Linked DNA regions of Ovis aries. The protein of the gene in region 1 interacts with the protein of each later gene in a pairwise test. Links are inferred from orthologs where the notes say so. Each region holds a gene or a part of one and is shown on either strand. Other genes may lie near its edges. The genes, in order: TNPO2 and CAMK2D.

Region 1 (3,810 bases):
AGGGGGAAACTGAGGCATGGAGGTTAGTAACTGTCTCAAAGGCACAGAGTCAGTGAAAGGCAGGGTGGGGATGGGAAATGGCATCAGACTTCCTTGGTGGTCCAGTGGCTAAGAATCTGCCTGCCAATGCAGAAGATGCGGGTTTGATCCCTGGTCTGACAAGATCCCACATGTCTCGTGGAGCAACTAAGCCCACGTGCCACAACTACTGAAGCCCATGCACCCTAGAGCCTGTGCACCGCAACAAAAGAAGCACCTCAATGAGAGGCCCCTGCGTCAATGCGTAGGCTCTGCTCGCAACTACAGAAAGCCTTCGCAGCAACAAAGACCCAGCACAGCCAAAATACATAAGTAAATACTTCCCTTTCCATCAGCCCCACCCCATCCCAGGGCTTGTGCTGCCATCTGGTTACTCTATGTGTGTGCTCAGTCGTGTTCAACGCCTCGCGACCCCATGGATTGTAGCCTAACAGGCTCTATCCATTGGATTCTCTAGGCAAGAATACTGTAGTGGGTAGCCATTTCTTCCTTCAGGGGATCTTCCCAACCCAGGGATCAAACCCACGTCTCTTCCATCTCCTGCACTGAAGGTGGATTCCCTACCACTGAGACACCTGGGAAGCTACCTGCTCACTAGTTCATAGATGGTTGGGCTGCAGAGTTAACTCAGCCTGTATGGGCAGCAGCAACCCAGATGGACAGGAAGCACCTTTCTTTTGAAACCTTTCTTAGATGTCTGTGACTTTTTTCTTACTTTTCATCTTCCCTTTCTAAAAAACAAAAATTCTGAATGTGTCTGTCTCTCTTTTCACTGCAGATCACAGCATACCCCTTGACCGTCCCAGCCCTGAGATCTATTTTCACCAGTTCAGGGTCAATTCCTTGAGATCTTTCCCATTAAAATGAACAACACTTCACATGTTCCAGCAGACCTGGGTGCTGAGGTAGTTGTGTGTGTCTGCTATCACAGATCTGGAAAGCCCTCTGGTAATTCACCCTGTGCACACCGTCAGGACAAAGGGAGCCAGAAAAGTGAAGGAAACACCACCTCTGCACACTTCTGATCCTGGCAGGCCAGCCTCGCAGTCAGAGCAGGTCTGAAGCCCAGCTTCATCCCAGGTGACAAGAGAAGTGGTGTAATTCTCTTTGCAGCTGAGTTTCAAGAAACCTACCTCCTCGGGTGGCACTAAGCCCACAGGACAGGGCTGCCTGTTATTACTGTTGCTGAACTATGCTTAAGACCTCATGGAACTGCCTTTCTTTGAGAATTAAGGAAAGGACTTGCATTTGGGGGTCCCTTTCAGGCCTTTGGGCTGAGGTGGTGGTTGTTTAGTCACTAAGTCTTGTCCGACTCTTTGTGACCCCATGGTCTATAGCCCGCCAGGCTCCTCTGTCCATAGGATTTCCCAGGCAAGAATACTGGAGTGAGTTGCCATTTCCTCCTCCAAGGGATCTTCCCAACCCATGGATCATGCCTGCGTATCTGGCATTGACAGGTGGATTCTTTACCACTGGGAAGCCTGATCTTGGGCTGAGGGGAAGATTCAAATCCCAGAGCTGCTTGGAGTGGGCTGAGCAGGCCACTGGAGAGAACCTGGGGATAGCCTCACCCTCACCAGCCCTCCCTGGCCCAGCCCCATCTCACACCAGCATAAGGCTCAGAGGTCACACACAGTCAGGCTGGAGGGTCACTTACCCTCAGCAATGGCACCCAGCACCAGGATGCCTGACTCCTTGACCACCCACTCGGGGTGGAAGAGGAGGTCCTTGAGCAGGGGGAGCAAGTGGGGCAGCAGTTCCTCCCGGAAGACGTTGGCCAGGACATCCAGTGCAGCCGCCGAGCACTTCCCTGGGGCGGGAGGGGAAATCGGGGGGCGGGCTCAGGGAAGCACATGGGGCAGGCCACCAGCCCTCCTTTCTGTGACCCCTGGGATCCAAGGTTGTGATTTGAATCTTTGTGATTTGCTCTGCATAGGCTCCCTCCCTCTGAGAGGGAGCCCAGGGCCTGCTGTCCCCTACTCCTCACTTCATACTGCAGGCCAGGCCACTCACTCAGATTCCAGTCGGACAAAGCGTCATCGTCATCATCGTCCTCCGCGTCCTCTGAGCCGTCAGGCCGCTCGGCCTCATGGGGCAGCGTCACCGTGCGTGACTTGTGGAAACGTGGCTTGATGTCCTGTTCACTGTCAGGGACAGCCTCGTCCTCCTCAACATCCCCCTGTGGAGTCAGGCAGATGGCTGAGAACCCTAGAGGCCCCCAGCGCCCCAGCCTTCCTTCACCCTGCCAGTGACTGGTGGTCAGCCCTAGCTAACCTTCAGCAGGATGATGTCGATTTCCGAGTACTTCATCCCTTTTACCAGGATGGGGATCAGCCTGTTGGAAGAGAGGCTGTTAATCAGGATGCAGGGGCCCTAGAGACAGCTTACAGCCTGGGGAAGAGGGAAGTGGAGAAGAGTTGCAGGCAGGAGCATCAAGGAGCCGAGGGGTAGACTGTACATGCCAATTCCATTTGTCCTGCATCCATTAATTTCTCTTAGTGGATACTATTCCGAACCGAGTCTCAGCCACTGTGACTGGGTCAGAGCTGACACTACTCCTAGCTCTACAGGAATGCTCTTGATCCAGACCCCTGGCCACTCAGTGAATTCCAGACCCCCACACACTCTGAGAAGCTTGGAATAGTGCCTGACCCCTTGATGTTTAGTCGCTAAATCCTGTCCAACTCTTTTGGAACCCCATGGACTATAGCCCATCAGGCTCCTCTGTTCATGGGATTCTCCAGGGAAAAACACTATACTGGGTTGCCATTTCCTTCTCCAGGGAATCTTCCTGACCAAGGGATCACACCTGTCTCCTGCACTGGTAGGCAGGTTCTTTACCACTGAGCCACCAGGGAAGCCTGATCCCTAACGTGCCATAAAGCAGTGATACATGGCCCTGCCCTGTCACCAGGCACTTCCTGGCATGGGGCCAGGTTGGGGAGCTAACAGGCAGGGCAGCCTCCCCAACTCCGCTGGAACCCATGCACCTCAGGATCAGATTTTTTTTTTTTTTTTTTTTGATCAGAGATTTTGACTAGAGACTTCACTGAGTCGGGGACAGACAAGTGATTCAAGTTGATCAAAGAGGATCAGCCTTAGAACTTCTACAGAGACACTATAAAAGAGTAATGTAAAGAGAGACTGTCTTTACTCTGAGGTTCCCAAGCTAGAAGGCTGCAGAAAGTACTACCATGAGGGCAGGCTGTGCCTGAGAACAAAGTAGACACAGAGGAAGTAGATCTGAGCCCAGATGGTCTGCTGTTCACATCCTTTGAGCACCTGGATCCAGCTATGCCTGAAGCCTCTGCTGCCTTTTTTCCCCCTCTGGCTGTGCCAGGTCTTAGTTGGAGCACACAGGATCTTCACTGTGACATGAGGGATTTTTAGTTGAGGCATGTGGGATCTAGTTCCCTGACTAGGGACCTAAACGTGGGCCTCCTGCATTGGGAGCAAGGAATTTTAACCACTGGACCACCAGGGAAGTCCCTCTCTGTTGATTTCATCTTTTCCACCTATAACTTAACCTAATTTTTAATCCATTAAAGCTACATACCTACCATTTGCAAAATAAACGCACACAGGAATAAAAGCAAACCAAGACAATTGATTGGCACAGGCTAGCACAGAAGGGAAGACAGAGGGGTGGAGTCTGGGGTGGACAGAGGGCAGGAGCAGCACTCACTGGACCAAGTGGGAGGCCAGGACTTCCTTGCAGATGGGCTGCTCGGCCAGCGTCAGCCAGAACTCACAGGCCTCAAGGGCCACGTT
Region 2 (3,910 bases), on another chromosome or scaffold:
GTGGAGAGTGAGGCGGCCGTCATATCAGAAGTGAAACGTGGCGGGGCGGGCGTCGCCCCTCGCCGAAGAGGCCGCGGGGGAGGGAGGAACCCCGCGCAGAGCGCCCGGGAGCGGGCGCAGTGGCTTCTGCCGGGGCGGGCGCACCATCATCGGGGCTTGGGGGAGGCAGGGACCCGTCTCTGGAAGCAGCGTTTTGCCCACATCCGGCCCCCACTGTGTCAACACCGACTCAAGCCGAGACGAAGCGCCTGCACCTCTGGCCCTACCGGGGCACCGCGGCTCGGGGGGCGGTCCCTGGTGCCCGGCGTCCACACCCAGGCTGGGGGCCCCCGCGACCCCCGGCCGCAGTTTCCGCAGTCCACGAGTTACCCCGCTTCTTCCCGCTAAATCGGCCCCACGTTCCGGCAGAAGCCTAATTGCGGGTTTAACTGTAATTTTCTTGTCTCGCCTCCTTCACCTACACCCTCTCCAGGCGTCTCCCCCGCACATCCTCCTCCACCCACCTGGTCTCTCCCTAGACGGGCGTGCGCGCGTGTGAGACCCGGGGAGGGAGGGAAGGGAAGGAGGAATCCGCGGAGGGACAGGGTGAGAGTCGCTAGCGGGAGGGATAGGATCGGCACCAGGGGGCTTCGGGAGGGAGGGGGCACTGGCAGGCGGAGGGAGCGGCGGGAGGAGGCGCTGGGGCGGAGGCGGAGGCCCGGGGACGGCGGACGAGGCTTCGCCCGAGCGGAGCGCTGTCTTTCGCCGCGCAGTCTCGGAGCCGCCGCGGGCTCGTGTGGAGCGCGAGGCCGCCGAGGTGCGGGCGGGAGGGAGGCCGGCTCCGGCGCGCCCCGCGCCCGCGCCCGCTGACAGCTGCAGCTGGGCTCGCGCCGTCCGCTCCCGGCTCCGCGGCCTCCGCCCCCTCGGGCTCCCTCCCCTCCGCCTCTACCCCTCCTGCCCCGGTGCGGATCGTTTCGCAACTGCTCGCCTCTCGCCCCGTGCCCGGCTGTTTTCCATCTCCCGGCCCCTCTTCTTGAGTACTTTGCGCCTGCATCTGGGGAGAGGGTCTAGAAAGGGGTCGGAGGGAGCGTCGGGAGAAGAAGGAAGCGAGGCCCGGAGGAGGAGGAGGATCGGCGGACAGCAGGGAGGAGACCCCACGCCACCCTCTCTGGTCATCTCCCCTCCCGCCCCGCCCCTGCGCACACTCCCTCGCCGGCGAGCTACTTTCGGACGAGGAAAGTGAGGGCGGCCCTGGGTGACAGCGCCGCGGGGCGAGTCCCGGGGAAGCCGCGCGTCTGCTTTCGTCTGGTCCGCCGCGCTCCCAGCCAGGGGGACAGCCCGGACCGAGGATGGCTTCGACTACAACCTGCACCAGGTTCACGGACGAGTATCAGCTTTTCGAGGAGCTCGGAAAGTAAGCGCCTTTGCCGGGTACTCGCACGTCCCCTTTCCAGCAGAGGGCGGGTCGTGTTACCCCCGACCCACGGGCCTCCCGCGTGGGGCGAGCGAGTTGGGAGACGGGAGGAGAGGGAGGAGGGCCCCCGGTGTGTCGGCTCGGAGGAAGGTGTTGTCTTAGTAAGAGGAGGGGACGACTAAGGGGAAAGACCTTCCACCCCGGCTGTGGCCCTTTCTGATAATCCTTAGCCCACCTTCTCCCGCTCCCCCACCCTCCTGCACTAGAGACTTAGTGGATTTACGATCCCTGCAGTTGTAGCTGTCATCCTGAGAAGTGTGCGAGCGCGCGCGCGCGTGCGCGTGTGTGTATGAAGAGGAAACAAGAACCCATGTAAAATGCAACATAGATCACGTTTTCTGTAAATAGAGATGCCGCCGGGTTCGCCGGCGAGTCAGCCATACGACCCACGTTCAGATGAGAACTCACTGCCCCAGACGGTGCCATATTTATTGATGCCGAAAGTTCAACTTGGCGTAGAGTCTGTTTCGCATCCAGTAGTTGTTCTGTCCGGGAAAAGAGCCTCCCAAACGAACTCGACCCCCTGTCCCATATCCACTATTATTCCTTGCACTAGATTGCTCGCTTATCATCACCCTTCCTAGGATTTACATGAACATCTTCGAGTTCTCTGGGAGGATTTATTTACACAGGCAGTGGAAAAGCCCTCTGGAGACTGGGAGAGTGCTTCCCAGGGGTAACCTAACGTTGTATGTTGTTTGAAAACGACCTTCTACACCTGACCGACAGGACTACTTGGCAATGTTAAGGAAGGAGACAGGAGACCTACTGAGAACCTGTGCAAAAGAACCTAGGGGCCGAGCCGTGAACGTTAATTTATGTAGCATCAAACCCAACCCCAGTTCCACTATCGCTAATGTCGAACATTACTCAAGAAAGGTGCATTTATGTGTATGTTGTTGTTTTCTACAGTTGAGTTAAAGGACGTGTAAATATCTTTTAAATGTAATGAAGATCACATCCTCATATATTTATGTTGTCTGCTGTGAAAACATGGAGAATATGTCGGAAGAGCAGCTTAATTCAAATCTCTCCCCTCCCCCAGTCCAAAACAGGGCAGAGAGAAATCACCACAGCAGGATTTGTTAAACCACACACAAATATTCCTAAGATTTATTTTAATGAAAGCAATCGCCATATTTACTTACTTGGAGCCACATTAATTTTTTTTTCCTACCAGAATAAATAGGCAGCAGATTTTTGCTGCTCCTCTTCAGCTCTTTGCAGGATTTTTTCTCAGAGCATTTGGTGCTGAGTGTGAATTGTAAAATGTTTTCAAATTTCATGTGCAAACAAGAGTCGTCATTATTGGCAGTTCCTTTCATTTTGTTGATTAATAATGTGTGCTCCCAGTTAAGTAAAATTTATTTTTGTTCTTCAACGTTAAAGAAGGCCTGAGTTTCCAGGAAGGATTGTTCGTTTTCTAGTTATTACTATATGGTGCACTGATATTTGACAGTTCACTAAATTCAATAAAAATACTCAGATGTAAGTTTTTAATAGAATATCAAGCTGATTATACTGATGACCTGCTAATTATTGGTTTTCAGGGGGGCATTCTCAGTGGTGAGAAGATGTATGAAAATCCCTACTGGACAAGAATATGCTGCCAAAATTATCAACACCAAAAAGCTTTCTGCTAGGGGTGGGTATTTTCAACCACATATATGTTAATTGTGCATTTGTCCTGTTGGTTATTGGTTCTGTTGTATGTTGGTTGTGTTCTATGTAAATAAGTCATTTAGTTATAATTGTAGCTGTAGGTATCATATTACCTTTTGAGATTATTTCCTTCCTGAGTGCTTCTTGGTTTGTGCAGTTTAAAAATGTGACAAAATACAATTGTTACTTGATAAATTGTTATTAAAATCTTACCTTTTCCGTGGGTAATAACATAACTAACTACATTTTAAAGCAAATACATGTCACTAAGTGCAATTTGCCTTTAGCTCCACTGTGAAATAACTTTCAGAAAAACCCTGGAATGGAAAAATGTAAGTCTCACAACTGTCATTATTCCCTTTTGCTTTTGAGAGGAAAAATAGGTCATAACTCAGTTAAATCATATATTTCAATTGTAGTTACACTTGAACTTAATTCATTAAGGTATATTTAACAGTAATGGCTTTGGGAGGAACATTTTATGGTTGCTATATTCCAGGAAATTCAGCTTGATTTTGATGTTTCTGAGTGCAGTTTAGACCTTTACTTGATCATCTGCAGTAAGACTTCTCACTCATGTAATGTATTTTACACATGCTTTATAACTGCAAAGATAATTCATACTCATAAAATAGCTGTTGACATAAGCAAAAAACTTGGAGGGGTCTCATTGCATTCTTTTTATTTTGTTGAACTCATGCAAAAGTACTTATACCAAAAGGTTCGGCATTCCAATTATTGTGAGCACGTGTCTAAGGTATTAATATTTTCATGGGAATTTATGGTTTGATGAAA

Evidence for each region.
Region 2: the proteins of TNPO2 (region 1) and CAMK2D interact in binary tests that used the Homo sapiens proteins (3 or more experiments, as listed by UniProt). The two-hybrid records come from large-scale screens. The link is inferred for Ovis aries from reciprocal best matches to the Homo sapiens genes TNPO2 and CAMK2D.

What each region holds. Positions count from the first base shown.
Region 1 is NC_056058.1:11,095,909-11,099,718, reverse strand, and holds part of TNPO2 (transportin-2), read right to left. Parts: coding exon 3,725-3,810; intron 2,375-3,724; coding exon 2,314-2,374; intron 2,219-2,313; coding exon 2,053-2,218; intron 1,850-2,052; coding exon 1,697-1,849; intron 1-1,696. UniProt on the Homo sapiens protein: Probably functions in nuclear protein import as nuclear transport receptor. Serves as receptor for nuclear localization signals (NLS) in cargo substrates.
Region 2 is NC_056059.1:12,176,701-12,180,610, forward strand, and holds the start of CAMK2D (calcium/calmodulin-dependent protein kinase type II subunit delta), read left to right. Parts: upstream 1-1,211; 5' UTR 1,212-1,328; coding exon 1,329-1,393; intron 1,394-3,003; coding exon 3,004-3,098; intron 3,099-3,910. UniProt on the Homo sapiens protein: Calcium/calmodulin-dependent protein kinase involved in the regulation of Ca(2+) homeostatis and excitation-contraction coupling (ECC) in heart by targeting ion channels, transporters and accessory proteins involved in Ca(2+) influx into the myocyte, Ca(2+) release from the sarcoplasmic reticulum (SR), SR Ca(2+) uptake and Na(+) and K(+) channel transport.